2 linked regions of the Struthio camelus genome follow. The main gene of each other region encodes a partner of the protein of the gene in region 2 in a complex. Links are inferred from orthologs where the notes say so. Each region holds a gene or a part of one and is shown on either strand. Other genes may lie near its edges. The genes, in order: CALR and CELF1.

Region 1 (8,613 bases), on a different chromosome or scaffold from region 2:
CTTGTTGCTGAAGGGCTCGAAGCGGGAGGAGATGGCGTAGAAACGGGCGTCCTGGCTCGTCTGGATGCCTGCGGGCCAGGCGGGAGAGCGGTCCGGGCGGCGGCGGGGGCCGTTAGGGCTGCTCAACCCTCCCTCGCCCCCCCCGAAACTCCCCCGATGCCCTCGCCGGCTCCCCTCCTGAAGCCGCCCCGCTCCATCCAGCCCGCGGCACAACACAACCCCCCTACGCGGGGCCCGGAGCGCCGTCAGCACCCCCGCGCTCCCACGGACCCACCAAGCTCGTTAAGCATTAACTACCCTTGAGCGACAGGCGGAGGGAAAGGTCCTTATCTCCGGGGAGGCCGGCCAGCAGCCGGCACCTCACCTTTATCCTTCTCGGCGTCGCCGTAGAACTTGCCGGCCGTGAGGATGAACTTGCCGTAGTCCGACTTGTGCTTGGATTCCACCCACCGGCTGCTCCAGGCATCTGCGGAGAGGGCAGAGGGTCAGGGAGGCGCCGGCCCGCGCTCGGCGCGGCCCCGCGTGACCCCGGGTTTCCCCCTAAAGGCGGGAACAGCCCGTAAGAGCCGAAACCCGACCGAGCGCTGGCCGCTGCCGGGGGGGGTCTCCCTCGGCACCGAGGGCTCCCCCCCACCCAGGGAAGGGTCGCTGTGGAGGCAGCCGCCTCCGCGGTGGAGCCGGGCAGCCGAAACGCGGCGGCTTCAGGGCTAGGCAGCGTTCGCGGAGGGAAGAGGGAAGCAGGACGGCTCCAACCCCGCTCGGGGAGACCGGGGCGGGGGGAACGGGCCTCGGCGCCGGGCTCGTCCCCGCGTCCCCTCCGGCCCGGCGCTCTGCCCGCAGCGGCCGGGGATTGAACGCGCCCCTAGAGCTGAACGGGGAACAGGCCGGCTTCCTGCCACCTGCACGGCCCGGCCGGGATCCGTCACACTCCGGAGGAGCCCTTCGATACAGGCCGCCCACCTGCGCCCGTGAGGCACGGCAGCACCCGTGACGGCCCCCTGCGTCCCCCTCCCCGGCGCCCTGGCGGGAGGCCGGAGCTGCCGGGGAAGGTCTCCGCGGTGGGGTGGGCTCGGCTGTCGCAGCGCCGCCGCCGCCGCAGCAGGACTCGGGGCCGATAAACCACAACGGGAGCCAGCTCCTGTCCTGCCTCCCCCCCACCCTGTGGGGGAACATCCCACCGAAAGCCCTGCTGTCCCCCCCCTCCGGCTCCGGGGTGGGGGGAGAAGGGGACAGCTCTGCCCTCAACAGCCCCATCCAAAGGCCTTTTGTTCCCCCCAGCTCTAGGGGAGGCCTCACAGCCCCCGCAGCCCCCCCAAAGCCTTACCCCTTCCCAGAGGCCTCTCAGGCTCCGGTGTCTTCCCCAGGACCCCCAGGCCCAGGGAGCCTTATGCCCCCCCCCACCAAGGCCTCCAGCCCTTCCCAGACACCTTGCAGCCCCTCACTCCTTCCCCAGGACCCCCAGGCCCAGGGAGCCTTATGCCCCCCCCACCAAGGCCTCCAGCCCTTCCCAGACACCTTGCAGCCCCTCACTCCTTCCCCAGGACCCCCAGCCCCAGGGAGGCCTTAGGCCCCCCATCAAGGCCTCCAGCCCTTCCCAGACACCTTGCAGCCCCTCACTCCTTCCCCAGGACCCCCAGCCCCAGGGAGGCCTTAGGCCCCCCCCACCAAGGCCTCCATCCCTTCCCAGACACCTTGCAGCCCCTCACTCCTTCCCCAGGACCCCCAGCCCCAGGGAGGCCTTAGGCCCCCCCCATCAAGGCCTCCAGCCCTTCCCAGACACCTTGCAGCCCCTCACTCCTTCCCCAGGACCCCCAGCCCCAGGGAGGCCTTAGGCCCCCCACCAAGGCCTCCAGCCCTTCCCAGACACCTTGCAGCCCCTCACTCCTTCCCCAGGACCCCCAGCCCCAGGGAGGCCTTAGGCCCCCCACCAAGGCCTCCAGCCCTTCCCAGACACCTTGCAGCCCCTCACTCCTTCCCCAGGACCCCCAGCCCCAGGGAGGCCTTAGGCCCCCCACCAAGGCCTCCAGCCCTTCCCAGACACCTTGCAGCCCCTCACTCCTTCCCCAGGACCCCCAGCCCCAGGGAGGCCTTAGGCCCCCCACCAAGGCCTCCAGCCCTTCCCAGACACCTTGCAGCCCCTCACTCCTTCCCCAGGACCCCCAGCCCCAGGGAGGCCTTAGGCCCCCCACCAAGGCCTCCAGCCCTTCCCAGACACCTTGCAGCCCCTCACTCCTTCCCCAGGACCCCCAGCCCCAGGGAGGCCTTAGGCCCCCCACCAAGGCCTCCAGCCCTTCCCAGACACCTTGCAGCCCCTCACTCCTTCCCCAGGACCCCCAGCCCCAGGGAGGCCTTAGGCCCCCCCCCCCCACCAAGGCCTCCAGCCCTTCCCAGACACCTTGCAGCCCCTCACTCCTTCCCCAGGACCCCCAGCCCCAGGGAGGCCTTAGGCCCCCCCCCCCCCACCAAGGCCTCCAGCCCTTCCCAGACACCTTGCAGCCCCTCACTCCTTCCCCAGGACCCCCAGCCCCAGGGAGGCCTTAGGCCCCCCACAAGGCCTCCATCCCTTCCCAGACACCTTGCAGCCCCTCACTCCTTCCCCAGGACCCCCAGCCCTAGCTCAGGGCAGACACAGATGTCCTTCCCACGACCCTCATGCCCAGACCAGGCCTCTCAGCTCCCTATATCCATCCTGTGACCCTCATCCCTCCCACCCCAAGCCCTCAAAAGACCTCTCAGGTCCCCCCTTCCCCAGCACCCCCAACCCTACCTCAAGGTAGACTCAGCCCCCAAAAGACCCCTACAGCCTTCCTCAGACCCTCACCCCTCCCAGCCCCAGCTGAGGACAGACCCCTCAGGCCCTGCACCTACCCCAAGACCCCCAGACCAGGCCTACAGCCCCCCGCATCCCTCCTGTACCCCTAGGCCAGGGGAAGACCTCGCAGGCCCCACAGCTGCCCCAGGACCCCCAACCCAACCCGGCAGCCCCCCCCATGAGCCCCTAGGCCCTCATGACACCCCAAGACATCCCCTCTCCCCCCGACCCCCATCGCAGCCCCCCCCCAGCCCAGAGAAGACGCCTGGGGCCCTTCAGACGCAGCCCCACATCCTGCCTAGGGCCCCCCACCCCCAGCGGTGGGGCTCCCCCCTCACCTCCATCCCCGAACTCCTCCCGGAAGTACTGGGTGGGCCCCGCCGCCACCAGCCCCAGGAGGGCGCCGAGCAGAAGGGGGAGACCCAGGGGGCTCATGTCGCCGGGGGTCCCACACAGTGCGGCGGAGGCGCCTGGCCCTTTAAGACATTCGGCCCTGCCCGGCCCGGCGGCACCCAGACACTGCGGAGGGGGGCGGCGGCGACGCCCGCATTTATATGGCCGCGGCAGCTGGGCCCGCCCCTGCCCGCTCCCCATTGGCCCGAGCTCGTGAGGGGCTCGCTCCCATTGGCCCCTCGCCCGCTCGCCGGCTTCGGCGGCTCCCCCGAACGTTGGCGTCCCAGATGGCCGCTTCCCATTGGCTGAGCGCGGGGGCCAATGAGGAGCGACCACGCGTTCGGGGGGAGACGCCCCCCCCTCCCCCCGCGCTCCTGCCCTCCCTCCGCGCGCTGCGTCGCTCGCTCTCGGGGTCACGTGGGGCCCGGACGCTCTTAAAGGGCCAGGCTGCTGCGGAGCACGTGGGAGCAGGCGCTCGCCATCCCATAATAGCAGCAGGAAGGGGGAGAGGGGGATCAAGGTCGGGGGGGGAACCCAGGCATGTTGCTATGGCAACGGTCATAGGGTGGGGAATAAGCCTGCCGTTACAGCAACTGACTTCAGTGCAGCAAACTGTGGGTGAGGCTGGTTGCTGGGGAGGGGGGCTGGGCCTAGTGCCTGATGACGTCACGCTGACGTCCGAACACGTCACTCGGCCGCGGCACTCGGCTGCCTTCCTATCGCCAGCAGCCCCTTCCCCCTCCCCGCATCGGCCGCTTCGGGGCTTCTTGCCACACTCAAGATGGCGCCCGCGCCACTCTCAAGATGGCGGCGCTGAGCAGGTCAGCGGGCACGCCCACACCGGGCACGCCCCCTTTCCCCCTCAGGAGCACTTCCGGGTCGCGCGGAGGGAGTCCTTCCGGCGGGCGCCGCCATGTCGCCCGGTGTGGCCGAGCTGCTGCTGCGGCGGCTGGAGCGGGAGGCGCCGGGGCCCGGGCCGGGCGGGGGTCTCTGCAGCCTGGAGGCGGCCGCCGAGCTCGGCCTCGACCACCAGACGCTGGTGGGCGCCGTCAAGAGTCTCCAGGCGCTGGGCGAGGTGCGGCGGCGGTAAGGGCGGCCGGTAGCGGCGGCGGTGGCGGTGCCGCCGCCGCCGCTCAGGGCCGCCCGGTGCCGCCGCAGGTGATCGAGGCGGAGCCGCGGGCCGCCACCCGCTGGGAGCTGAGCGCCGAGGGCGAGGCGGTGGCGCGGGACGGCAGCCACGAGGTGCGCGTCTTCGAGAGCCTGCCCGGCGAGGGGCTGCCGCACAGCGAGCTCATGGTGAGCACCGGCACCGGGGGGGGGGGCCCGCGGGGGGGGGCCCGGCGGACCCCGGGCTGCAGCCGGCCGCTGCCGCCCGCAGAAGCTGCCCGGCGCCAAGGTGGGCTTCAGCAAGGCCATGGCCAACAAGTGGGTGCGGCTGGACAAGGAGGCGCCCGGCGGCCCCCGCGTCTTCCGCGCCGTGAGTTTGGGGAAGGGGGGGGAGAGGGGAGTGGTGGGGGGGGGTCTCCCTGTCCCCGGGGGTCCCCCGTCCCCAAGGCTGAGCCCGTCCCCGGGGGTCCCCTGTCCCCGGGGGTCCCCCGTCCCCGAGGCTGAGCCCGTCCCCGGGGGTCTCCCTGTCCCCGAGGGCCCCTGTCCCCAAGGCTGAGCCCGTCCCCGGGGGTCTCCCTGTCCCCGAGGGCCCCTGTCCCCAAGGCTGAGCCCGTCCCCGGGGGTCTCCCTGTCCCCGAGGGCCCCCGTCCCCTGTCCCCAAGGCTGAGCCCGTCCCCGGGGGTCTCCCTGTCCCCGAGGGCCCCCGTCCCCCGTCCCCAAGGCTGAGCCTGTCCCCGGGGGTCCCCTGTCCTCGAGGGCCCCCGTCCCTAAGGCTGAGCCTGTCCCCGGGGGTCCCCTGTCCCTGAGGGCCCCCATCCCCCGTCCCCAAGGCTGAGCCCGTCCCCGGGGGTCTGCTGACCCCAGGGATCCCCTGTCACCGTCTCTGAGGGTCCTCCATCCCTGGACTGAGCCCTTCCCCAGGGTCCCCTGTCCCCGAGGGTGCTGTGTCCCCACGCTCAGGCTGAGCCTGTCCCTGAGGGTCCTTCATCCCCAGGCTGAGCCTGCCCCCGAGGGTCCCCTGTCCCCGAGGGTCTCCTGTCACTGTCCCCGAGGGTCCTCTGTCCCTGGAGCGAGCTGTTCTGCAGGTCCCCTGTCCCCAAGGGTCCCCTGTCACTGTCCCCGAGGGTCCTCTGTCCCTGGAGCTAGCTGTTCTGTGGGTCCCCTGTCCCCGAGGGTCCCCTGTCACTGTCCCCGAGGGTCCTCTGTCCCTGGAGCAAGCTGTTCTGCGGGTCCCCTGTCCCCGAGGGTCCCCTGTCACTGTCCCCGAGGGTCCTGTGTCCCTGGAGCTAGCTGTTCTGCGGGTCCCCTGTCCCCGAGGGTCCCCTGTCACTGTCCCCGAGGGTCCTGTGTCCCTGGAGCTAGCTGTTCTGCGGGTCCCCTGTCCCTGAGGGTCCCCTGTCCCTGGAGCGAGCTGTTCTGCAGCTCCCCTGTCCCCAGGGGTCCCCCGTCACTGTCCCAGGGCTGTGCCTGTCCCTGAGGGTCGCTGTCCCCATCCTGTTGCTGTCCCTAGGCTGAGCCTGTCCCCAAGGGTCCCCGGTCCCGGAGCTGTCCCCGTCCCTGAGCGCCCCCCCATCCCCAGGGGTCCCCTGTCACCATCCCAGGGCTGTCCCTGAGGGTCCCCCGTCCCTGGCTGTTCCTGGTCCCGAGGGTCCCCTGGCTGAGCCCATCCCAAGGGTCCCCTCTCCTCGTCCCCGAGGGTCCCCCACTGCCGTCCCGGGGCTGTCCCCGTCCCCGCGGGTCCCCCGTCCCGGGGCTGTCCCCGTCCCCGAGGGTCCCCGTCCCCGAGGGTCCCCCATCCCGGGGCTGTCCCCGTCCCCGAGGGTCCCTGTCCCCACGTGTCCCCCATCCCGGGGCTGTCCCCGTCCCCGCATGTTCCCCATCCCGGGGCTGTCCCCGTCCCCGAGGGTCCCCGTCCCCACGTGTCCCCCATCCCGGGGCTGTCCCCGTCCCCACGTGTCCCCCATCCCGGGGCTGTCCCCGTCCCCGAGGGTCCCCGTCCCCACGTGTCCCCCATCCCGGGGCTGTCCCCGTCCCCGAGGGTCCCCGTCCCCACGTGTCCCCCATCCCGGGGCTGTCCCCGTCCCCGAGGGTCCCCGTCCCCACGTGTCCCCCATCCCGGGGCTGTCCCCGTCCCCGAGGGTCCCCGTCCCCACGTGTCCCCCATCCCGGGGCTGTCCCCGTCCCCGAGGGTCCCCGTCCCCACGTGTCCCCCATCCCGGGGCTGTCCCCGTCCCCACGTGTCCCCCATCCCAGGGCTGTCCCCGTCCCCGAGGGTCCCCGTCCCCGCGTGTCCCCCATCCCGGGGCTGTCCCCGTCCCCGAGGGTCCCCCATCCCGGGGCTGTCCCCGTCCCCGAGGGTCCCTGTCCCCACGTGTCCCCCATCCCGGGGCTGTCCCCGTCCCCGCATGTTCCCCATCCCGGGGCTGTCCCCGTCCCCGAGGGTCCCCGTCCCCACGTGTCCCCCATCCCGGGGCTGTCCCCGTCCCCACGTGTCCCCCATCCCAGGGCTGTCCCCGTCCCCGAGGGTCCCCGTCCCCACGTGTCCCCCATCCCAGGGCTGTCCCCGTCCCCGCGTGTCCCCCATCCCAGGGCTGTCCCCGTCCCCGAGGGTCCCTGTCCTCCTTGCAGCATCTCCCTGGTCCTCAAAATCCCTCAGCCCGTCTTGCAGTCTGTCACCCCCCCCCGTCCTCGCACCAAGAGGCTCTGCCCCGGGCTCCCCCCCCACCCCATGACGGCGCCCCGTCCCGCGTGTCCCCCCCCCCGGCGGGGTCCCGTCCCCGCAGGTGGCGGCGGTGCAGGACGCCGTGCGGGACAGCCTGCGGCGGGTGCAGCGGGGGGAGGCCGCCAGCCTGCCCGAGCGCGACCGCGCCGAGCTCAAGAAGAGGAAGCTGCTGCTGGAAGTGTGAGCGGGGGGGGGCCGGGGTGGGGGGGGGACACACACATAGACCCCCGCTGACCCCCCCACCCCGCCCGCCACCCCCAGCACCCTCAAGTCCTACTGGCTGCGCAAGGGCAGCGCCTTCAGCACGGCCGTGGCCCGCCAGGAGACGGAGCTGACGCCGGAGATGATCGCCACGTGAGTGCCGCAGGGGGGGGGCTCCGCGGACCCCCTCACCCTGGGGGGCACCCGTGGGCCCCCCCGCCTCGAGCCCTGCTGCTGCACCCCCCCCCCCCCCCGCAGGGGCTCCTGGCGGCAGCGGCCCTTCAAGGCCTACAACTTCGCGGCGCTGGGGCTGCCGCCCGCCTGCGGCCACCTCCACCCCCTGCTCAAGGTGCGCTCCCAGTTCCGCCAGATCTTCCTGGAGATGGGGTGAGTGGCGGGGCGGGGGCGGGCAGGACGCCTGGGCCCCCGCGCGGGGGTGGGGAGGGGGCTGACGCGGCGGCCGCACCCCCCCCCCCAGGTTCGTGGAGATGCCCACCAACAACTTTGTGGAGAGCTCCTTCTGGAACTTCGACGCCCTCTTCCAGCCCCAGCAGCACCCGGCTCGCGACCAGCACGACACCTTCTTCCTGCAGGGTGGGTGCCCACGGCGGTGGGGGGGGGGGGTCTAAACGCCCCCCTCCCCACGCTAACGACCCCCCCCCCCCCGCGATGCGTGTGTGTCCCCAGACCCCGCCGAAGCCCCCGAGCTCCCCGCCGGCTACGTGGCTAAAGTGAAGAAAGTGCACTCGCAAGGAGGCTACGGCTCGCAGGGGTGAGGGGCGGCACCCGTGGGTGCGGGGGGGGGGACACCACGGGCCCCCCCCTCCCCAGCTCAGCCGAGCCCCCCCCCCCGGCAGCTACAAGTACGACTGGAAGGTGGAGGAGGCGCGGAAGAACCTGCTGCGGACGCACACCACGGCCGTCAGCGCCCGCATGCTCTACCGCCTGGCCCGCCAGGTGGGCGCCCGTTTTGGGGAGCGGGGCGGGGGGGTGGGGGGGGGCCCTCTCATCTCGTTCTGCCGTGTTTACTTGTGGGGGTGCCCCCGCCCCCCCGCCGCAGGAGAAGTTCACGCCGGTGAAGTACTTCTCCATCGACCGGGTTTTCCGCAACGAGAGCCTGGACGCCACCCACCTGGCCGAGTTCCACCAGATCGAGGGCGTCGTGGCCGACCACGGCCTCACCCTGGGCCACCTCATGGGCGTCCTCAAGCAGTTCTTCCTCAAGCTGGGTGAGGGGGGGGGGGGCGCCCTGGGGCGGGGGGGCCCCCTCTGGCACCCCCTCACCGCCCCCGTTTGCCCCCCCCCCCCCCCCCCCCGCAGGTATCACGCAGCTGCGCTTCAAGCCCGCCTACAACCCCTACACGGAGCCCAGCATGGA
Region 2 (8,131 bases):
AAAATGGGAATGCTGAAGTTCTCTCTTTTCACTACAATGCCCCCAAATACAAAGTCTCCTGGTAGGACAATCTAAAATAGATGAGACAGCAATAGCAGAAAAGGTTCTATCCTGCATTTTTCCATGCAAAACAACCATCTCTAACAACAGGAGGAAGGGTATTAAAACCCCTGACTACCTTTTTCAGTGAAGGTAATCTCTCATCTCAATAAGTCTTGTGATGGAATCACAATTCACGATCTTTTGTTAGGTTACTTCAAGAGAAATTATTATAAAGCCTAGACAACTTTTCTCAATTTAAAACTCCCATTCCAATATACCCTTAACTATTTTACTCTGCTTTATGTTGGATTTTCTTCCCACCAAATAATTGATCAATGGATAAAAATGATACCTTCCTGCCTGAGGGCAGTTACCAAGGCAACAAACATAGTTCTGCACATAGGCTTGGTGAATGGCAAACTAAAAGACAAGAAGCAATATTGAAAATGTTTAGATTGATATAAAACATTATGATATATATGGCAAGACTGATAAAATAAGGACCCAGAAGTATAAATCTTCTGAGTTTGTTGGATTACAGCTGCTGTTTCACTAGCAAATCTCACATTACCACTTGGAAACCCGGACTGTTTCACGGACATCATCACTGTACAGCAGTCTCTAGTTCAAGAGCCAGAAGAATGGGTTCTTCTTAGATTATCAGATTTAGAAATTAACAACTGGGAAACCTCAAAAAGAAAGAGAATTTATGTTACTTCCTATGCAGTTTGGCAAGCAACCTAAAAAACACTAAAATAATTTTTATTTAGAGTAGGCCCTCTGAAAAGATTTGCGATAGAAGAGCCAAAAGACAGACAGATGAAATTAAGAATAAATGTAGTAACTGATGATCAATGCCCACATTTCAGAAAAAGGTGCAAGAAATGGTAAGGAATAACCTGCTCATAACAAATTTTTTTTTTTTTTTTTTTTTTTTTTTACTAATTTCAGTTAAAGACTAGATTACAGGTCATATTTTATTTACTGAATGCAATTGTAAAATATTTTCAAGAACCACATAAACATCTAATTTTTATGACCTTCTACTGATGAGCATAGTATTGTTTCCTGTAATTTCAAAAGAAAAATTACACAGCATTAAAAAAATATTTCTCTTAAATTTTATGCTATGCAGCGATAAATTGAATAATCATGAGGTGAGACAGAAATTACGTAAAGGCTTCTTGCAAGGGACCTTGCAAATTACAGATTTATTATAAGGTATACAATTACTCCATATCTACGATACAGTCACTTTTCTTGCTTTTCCCTTTAGAGGAGTAGCGCTAGGCAACACGTACCTTCAGAATTCCTACTCTCAGCAAAAAGAAACAATACTTAAAGACCCCTTCCCCCACCATGTAATGATAATCTGACCACTGCATCTAGTTTTAAAGAAGTAGCAAGAAAATGTGGATACAGTAATAAGTACAAGGTACTACCGTGGCATTCTTTACCATATCCCCATTTTGAAAGACAGTTAGGTCCTTTGGTTATTGTAGGCCATACACTTTCAAAAGAACATACTTAACATACAAATCTTGGTGTTCTTAGCGTTCATGACTTTGTAATAACTACTTTTCAACTAAGACAATATTAAAACTTCTTTCTACAGACATTATGTTCCTCCTTTCTTAGGTATGTAAAGTTCCCAAGATAAACAAGTTCCCAGTCCTGCATTTACTAGATTATTTTACTTACAAAGCATACCCAGATGCATAAGCTCAAGCACAAAACTGAGAAGGCAGGATCTGGGACTGCATTTTCTCCAATATAACAGTAGAAAATTGGACAGGAAGGGAAAAATATGCCCATCGCAGGGTTATCATTCAGAAAAGGTAAATCTATTCCACAAAACAGCATATAACTTCCCAGAATAAATATCAGCAAGAATTTCGAAGGTTAGCACAGGCTGAAGGGGAATGGCAAGCTTCTTTAAAAAAACAAACAAACAAAACCACTGACATCATCATATTTTAAAATCCCCACTTTGGGAATAGTTGTACTGGTGCATATACGTGCACCTATGTCCCCGGGCAGATATAAGAATCATGCTGCTACCCAGAGCACTCTTCACCAGGAGAGATGCAACTGGAAACATTAAGTTGCAGGATACAAGCTGTACCCACCTGGATGATTCCTATCACAATGGTAAACAGATAAGTAATATTTTTAAACAATATCTGACATTATACTCAACTCCTCAGAACAGAGCTGGCAGGGGGAGGGGAAGGGTGAGTTTATTATGGATACACAATGCCAGGCCAGTGCAATAAAAGCTATCTGATAAACTCATCTATAGAAAAGCAATAGGAAAGGCAACTAAAGACTCCATGAGAGAATCTGGCAGTTATTGTAATCACTAATTCTAAGAGTCAAGCCTGGAGACACATACAAACCATGAACTTTGCAAGACACTCAGAAAGTCCTAGCTCTTGTAGACCAGAAGCAAAGCACATTTCAAGATTCAAATTCCAGCCAAGTATTTTTCTGCATCAGGTGAGCTCCTGGTGAAACACACCCACTGACCACACTGAAGCAGTACAACACAAGAAAGCTGCAACATTTGAAAAATGCTCCCTGACAACTTCTGGCAGAGGAGAATGTCTGTCTGTGCCTTAAAGGTGAAAACGTCTGGGCTGCGATTCCTCAGGAATTTAAAGGAGGGAAGGTTCCACAGTTAATACTGCCTCTGAACTTCCTATTCAGCAATCTTCCTATAAAAAAAAAAACTCATGCTGTTATCAATTCGTATTTCTTCTTTATGCACTTATCGTTAAATTTATGTTTAGTCTCCCTTCTTTCTTTACATTGTGCTATTTTACTTTCTACTTCACCCCAGTAGCGTTTGCCGCTCCTCCTCACGCCTGAGACTGCAAATTCCTACGCTGTGGTGAAGTCGAGCTCTCTGCCTTTTGCTTCTCCTACCCAGACCTGCCTCCACCCCTTCGCAAACCCCAAGTGCCGCAGAGGTGCGTTTCCTGGTGTCCCCTGCCCAAAAGACAGGCCCGCGGGGTGCCACCCGGCGCCATCCAGCCGCATCCCCGCGATCACCCCGGCCTCTGCCGCTCCGCGCTGCTCCGGCCGCCGCCGCCCCCGGGGGCTGCCCGTCTCCCGCGGCCCGGTCCGGCGCTCCCCTGCCCTCCCCGCACCCGCCGCGGGCCGCGCTCGCACCTGCAGCGCCCCCCGCCGCCGCCCTGCGGCCCGAGGCCGGGCGGCGCCCGAGGCGCTGTCAGCGCCCGGATGCCAGACGGCAACCGGCCGCCTCCGGTTCCGGGCCCCGGGCTGGGCGGCCGCCTCCCCCCGGGCGGCGGCGGCGCGGGGCTCCCGCGGGCCCGAGCCCCCCACGGCACGGCACAGCGCAGCGCGGCGAAGCGAGGCGCGGCGCGGCGGCCGCCTGCAGGGTCCCGGCGCGGGGCGGCCTGGCGGCCGGAGGAGACCCGTTACCTGCGCTAGGCGGGTCGCGCTCCCCGCGGGCTCCGCTCGGCTCCGCGCCGCGCCGCGCCGCGCCGTCCCTGCCCTGCCCTGCCCTGCCCGGCCCGGCCGAGCTCCTCCTGGCGGCCGCCGCCCTCACCTGCCCCGCGGATCCACCCGCGCCCCGCTCAGCTCCCTGCGCCGCCTCAGGCCGGCTTCGCAAGATGGCGGCGCTTCCGGGAGAGACCACGGCGGGCCCGAGGGCAGGGGCCGGGCCGCCGCCGCCGCCGCCGCCGCGCTCCTCCCCCGCCGCCGGGGCGGGGCCGCCCCGCGCTACGGCCGCGCTCGCGCGCGCGCTTCCCCCGGCGCCTCGCGCGCGGTGCGCTCGTCCGCGGCGCTCCCCCGCCCCTGCGGCGCGGCCCGCGATGGGGCTGGCGGTGGCGCTGGGCGCCGGCGCGGCGCGGCTGCTCTTCTACCCGACGCTGCTGTACACGGCGGTGCGGGCGCGGCTGCCCGGGTCCGGCCGGCCCTGGTTCCACCGCATCGACGGCGTCGTGCTGCTGGGGGCGCTGCCGCTGCGGGGGCGCAGCCGCAGGGTAAGGCGGGGCCGCGGCGGGCCGGGCCGGGCCGGGCCGGGCCGGGCCGGGCCGAGCCGAGCCGGCGCCTGACGGTGCTTGTGCCCGCAGCTGGTGGCGGAGGAGAACGTGCGCGCCGTGCTCACCCTCAACGAGGAGTACGAGACCCGCCTGCTCTGCTGCTCCGCGCAGGTGAGCGCCGCGGCGGCCGTTGGGCGGCTGCCCGCGGGCCGGGCCGGGCCGGGCCGGGCCGGGCGTGCGGCGGTGCCCAGCGCCCTCCGCCGCTCCCCCTCCTGCTCGCCCTGGGGTAGGTGAGGATTCAGCGCTGCTGCCTGCCCTCACGCTGCTCCCCGTTGGGATCCCTGGCGGCAACTGTTACGGCCTCTTAACAGCAGAGAGACTTGGCTTCTTCAGACGTAAGCCAAGTTCTTAAACTGTGTGACCGGACGATGAAACGTGAGGATGCAAGAACAAGACTAGAGCTACAGCGGTGGGGAGAAGGGGAGCGTTAATTGTACACGTGCTGTTGTGCAAATGCCAGAATGCCTTTTTTTTCCAGGCTGAGAACCCACCTCGCCTCCTTTCCTTTAGCTGAACCACATCTCCTCAGTTTTCCTTCAGTTCCCTTTAACTTCTTCTTGCTGATAACCAGCACTAAAGCTTTCTGTATTTTTTCTGTATTTCTGATTTAAAGGATTAACATTGCAAAGGCTGCTTACAACATTGCTATATTTCCCAAATGTCTTCACAGGGATCGTGTTTTTCTTTCTGGGGGGAAAAAAAAAACCCTTGGCTAATTGAATCTACCATGCTTATTTCAGGAATGGGAGGCAATGGGAGTAGAGCAACTGCGTCTCAGCACTGTGGATCTAACTGGAGTTCCCACCTTGCAAAACCTCCACAAGGGTGTCGAATTCATACTGAAACACCGAGAACGTGGTAACAGTGTTTATGTGCACTGCAAGGCAGGACGCTCCCGCAGTGCCACCATGGTGGCAGCATATTTAATTCAAGTAAGAAGGGTTCTGTACTAAATCGGGTTTATGTTATACCCTCTGGGCAAGTAAAGTGCTCAGAGATGGCCCAGCCTCTACAATTTGATTCTGCTCAAGAAACCCGAGTGTGTACAATTGCATAAATAGGCCATGGTTTTACCAAGTTTGGACTGGAGACCCATTTGAAGAGAGGTAGGTAGCTAGGCCCTACATCTGTTGCTGTCTGTTTTGCAGATGACTAATACAAGCTAAAGGAACAAACGAAACTTGTATTGGCTGAACAGCAGTCTAAACTTCCTTTGACAATGTAGCTTATCTTTGCACACTTTGTTCGTTTGCCTTTATGTTACTGACCAGTTAATGCCTTCTGGCAGTGAGGTAGTGGTGAAGTTGCAATGGAGCCTCCACTGTAAGTAGTCTTTTCATTCATCTGTACAGTCTGCCTCTGACAGCTCAGTTATTAGCACAGACACTGGCAAAGATGTTTCATGTTATGGGACAGAAATTGCCGTTGAGAAGAAGCTTTGAAACGTGCACTCTCACAGTATCTGTTGCTGGTTCTGGCAGATGACTCAGACTTCAAGAAGCTGTTCAATTTACTGAGCCACTAATACAGCATGTTCTGATGCGGTTTTGAATGATTCTGCTGTTCATAATTCTTTTTAGGGAGGAACAGATTGAGTTGGGAATAACAAGTCACTCACATGAGGGTAGATTCACTGAGCAGCTAAACTTCCTTTTTTTTTTCCTATTTACCTGAAGTGGTGAGCACCTCAAAATATAATTCAGGATCATGAGAAGTAACTTTGGTTTTCCCGAGTTCCTCTACATATCCAACTGTGCAAGCTAGCCCTGAAAACACGATCCCACCTGTGGGATCCTTCTGTTGGAGTTCTTAAATACACCCTGGGAAATCTTCCCTTAGTAATGCCCTAAAGTGCTAGAGCGGGGGTAGTACTAGTACTCTTTACCTCTTTACCCACCTTTTCCTCCAGTCTGGTGGGACTAGGACAGGAAACTACTTACATCATGGAAGCATGAGTGAGATAGAACATGCAAGTCCTAAACAGCAAATGTTTTTCTTTAGCTGAGGGACTCATTTCATGAATTTGCATTGACTTTCAGGCCCCTCTGAGAGAAGATGAATAAAATGGGAGGGACAAAAGGAGCAGGTTTTCTAACTGAACTCTCATGTTGTCTGTATCCTCCGTGAAGGCTCCATTAACCAGTGCAGGGATAGAACGGATTTTCACATGCAGTGTTTCTCCCTTTTCAGCTGCATCACTGGAGCCCTCAGGAAGCAATAGAGGCTATTGCCAAGATCCGTCCCCACATCCTCATTCGGCACAAACAGGTCCAGGTCCTGGAGGCATTTCACAGGAACATAATTGCTGGGACAACGGCAAAGCATCAGTAAGAACCATAAAGATCTCAGAGTCTCAGCTCCTAAAAAAAAAAAACCCCTTGGATCTTAATGAAATAATGAAGGTTTAAGTATTGTATTTCTTGGCCATCAATAAACAAGTTTTTACAATGCGCTACTTTGAAGGGCAGGTTGGGCTGTTTCATTAAAGTGTCTCTCCTTATGGCTAGTCTCTTATTTCTTTTAAAGCCCAATAGTTCTTTCCCACACGCAACATCAGTGCAGAGCCAAACTGCCATCCACATAATGCTCTGTAATTGCAGCAAAGGAAAATAGAACTGTGTCTCAGCAGAGACTTTATTCACTTTCTTACCCAAAGGGTTACAGTGTCAGAGAGGGGTAGAAGGAAGTGGACTTAATTCCATCTTTCACCAACACTATGTTTTGATTACAGGTTCGGATTCCCTGTACAGACAGGAAAGCCAATGCTCTTAAGAATCATCTCCCTCTTTATGCTTGGTGACAATACAGCAGAAAGCAAGTTCCCAGTTTGTTACCACTCCTCTAGGAGAAGTGCTGAAGCATACAACCCACTCAAGGTTTGGGCTCAGCCCTGGCATCTGTCCACTGTAAATGTAATTGCCAGTCCCACCAGCTGCTACAGGGACACAGGAATGTTTAAATGGGGACTTCCCTGGAGGACAGGCACAGCGCATCTACTCTTCATGACTGGCAACGGCAGCAATGCAGTCTCCCAGACAGTTAAAACCAGCCGTCCAGGCCACAAAGGAGGTTGTCCATATGCTATAGGATTTGTTATTGGTTTGATAGTTCCAGGCTAAAAAAGCCACTTGCTGCAGCTTTGGCCTCAAACACAAGCAGCTTATTATCAAGAGATCACAGTAATAGCGTTTAGTCCATCTGAAACCTAAGATGTAGCAGTTCAACTTTAATAGTGCTAAGTAAGAGAATAGGCCCACAGCCAGATGGCTGGTACTTCCTCTGCGCAGACATAGAGGACGGGCTGTTTACTGGATGTTGTGAGCTCGTAGTAATTGGAACTGGTGCTGAGAGTATTTGGTGCCTCTGAGGTGCACTGCAGAACATCTTTGCTGCCCTTTCTACCACTGGGCCTGTTTTTCCCTCTTAGGCCAGGACAAATTGCAGGTTAGTGAGCAGCACTTTGATACCACTTGTGACTGTTACAACAGAGGTGGCTGGGTTAAGTTTAAAAGTATTTGCATCACCCTTTTTATAGCGGTCTCGAAAGACGTAGATGCTGCCATTGCAGCTGGCAATTTTCCAGAGGGATGGTACTGAGCTCCAGGCATCTGGCAGGCAGAGCCGGGTGAAGCTATCCAGTAAGGGATTATAGCATAGCAGGGAATCCCCCTCAGCTACAATAAACACCACATCCTTGTGTACAGCAGCATGCATGCGCCCTGCAAAAGGTAGCACATATGGCTTCACGTGGCATTTCTCTGTGTTGGTATCATAGCACTGAATAAGCCGAGAGGGCTTGGTGAAGAAGTCCAAGTCATTCTCTTCCCCTCCCAGCAGGTAAATGACACCGTTAAGGTTTACACCTGCAGCCCCCGATACGGCCACTTCCAACTGGCTGGTCTCTGTCCATACATTGTCTCGTACTCTGTAATATATGACAGCATTAGAGAGAGTGTCCTGCAGAGTTTTCCCCCCCAGTGAATATATAGCATCCTTGCTTGGCACGGAGACTAGGGTAT

The links.
Region 1: CELF1 (region 2) and CALR share a complex: the UniProt entries of both Homo sapiens proteins name them as parts of the EIF2 complex. The link is inferred for Struthio camelus from reciprocal best matches to the Homo sapiens genes CELF1 and CALR.

Annotation. Positions count from the first base shown.
Region 1 is NC_090972.1:4,289,633-4,298,245, reverse strand, and holds the start of CALR (calreticulin), read right to left. Parts: upstream 3,348-8,613; 5' UTR 3,248-3,347; coding exon 3,151-3,247; intron 467-3,150; coding exon 365-466; intron 69-364; coding exon 1-68. Other genes in the region: FARSA (phenylalanine--tRNA ligase alpha subunit), read left to right, coding at 4,119-4,280, 4,364-4,501, 4,584-4,682, 7,096-7,214, 7,296-7,388, 7,494-7,622, 7,714-7,829, 7,923-8,007 and 3 more. UniProt on the Homo sapiens protein: Calcium-binding chaperone that promotes folding, oligomeric assembly and quality control in the endoplasmic reticulum (ER) via the calreticulin/calnexin cycle.
Region 2 is NC_090946.1:39,024,254-39,032,384, reverse strand, and holds the start of CELF1 (CUGBP Elav-like family member 1), read right to left. Parts: upstream 3,578-8,131; 5' UTR 3,490-3,577; intron 2,760-3,489; 5' UTR 2,438-2,759; intron 732-2,437; 5' UTR 648-731; coding exon 609-647; intron 463-608; coding exon 395-462; intron 1-394. Other genes in the region: PTPMT1 (phosphatidylglycerophosphatase and protein-tyrosine phosphatase 1), read left to right, coding at 3,882-4,052, 4,143-4,223, 4,853-5,044, 6,303-6,443; KBTBD4 (kelch repeat and BTB domain-containing protein 4), read right to left, coding at 7,536-8,131. UniProt on the Homo sapiens protein: RNA-binding protein implicated in the regulation of several post-transcriptional events. Involved in pre-mRNA alternative splicing, mRNA translation and stability.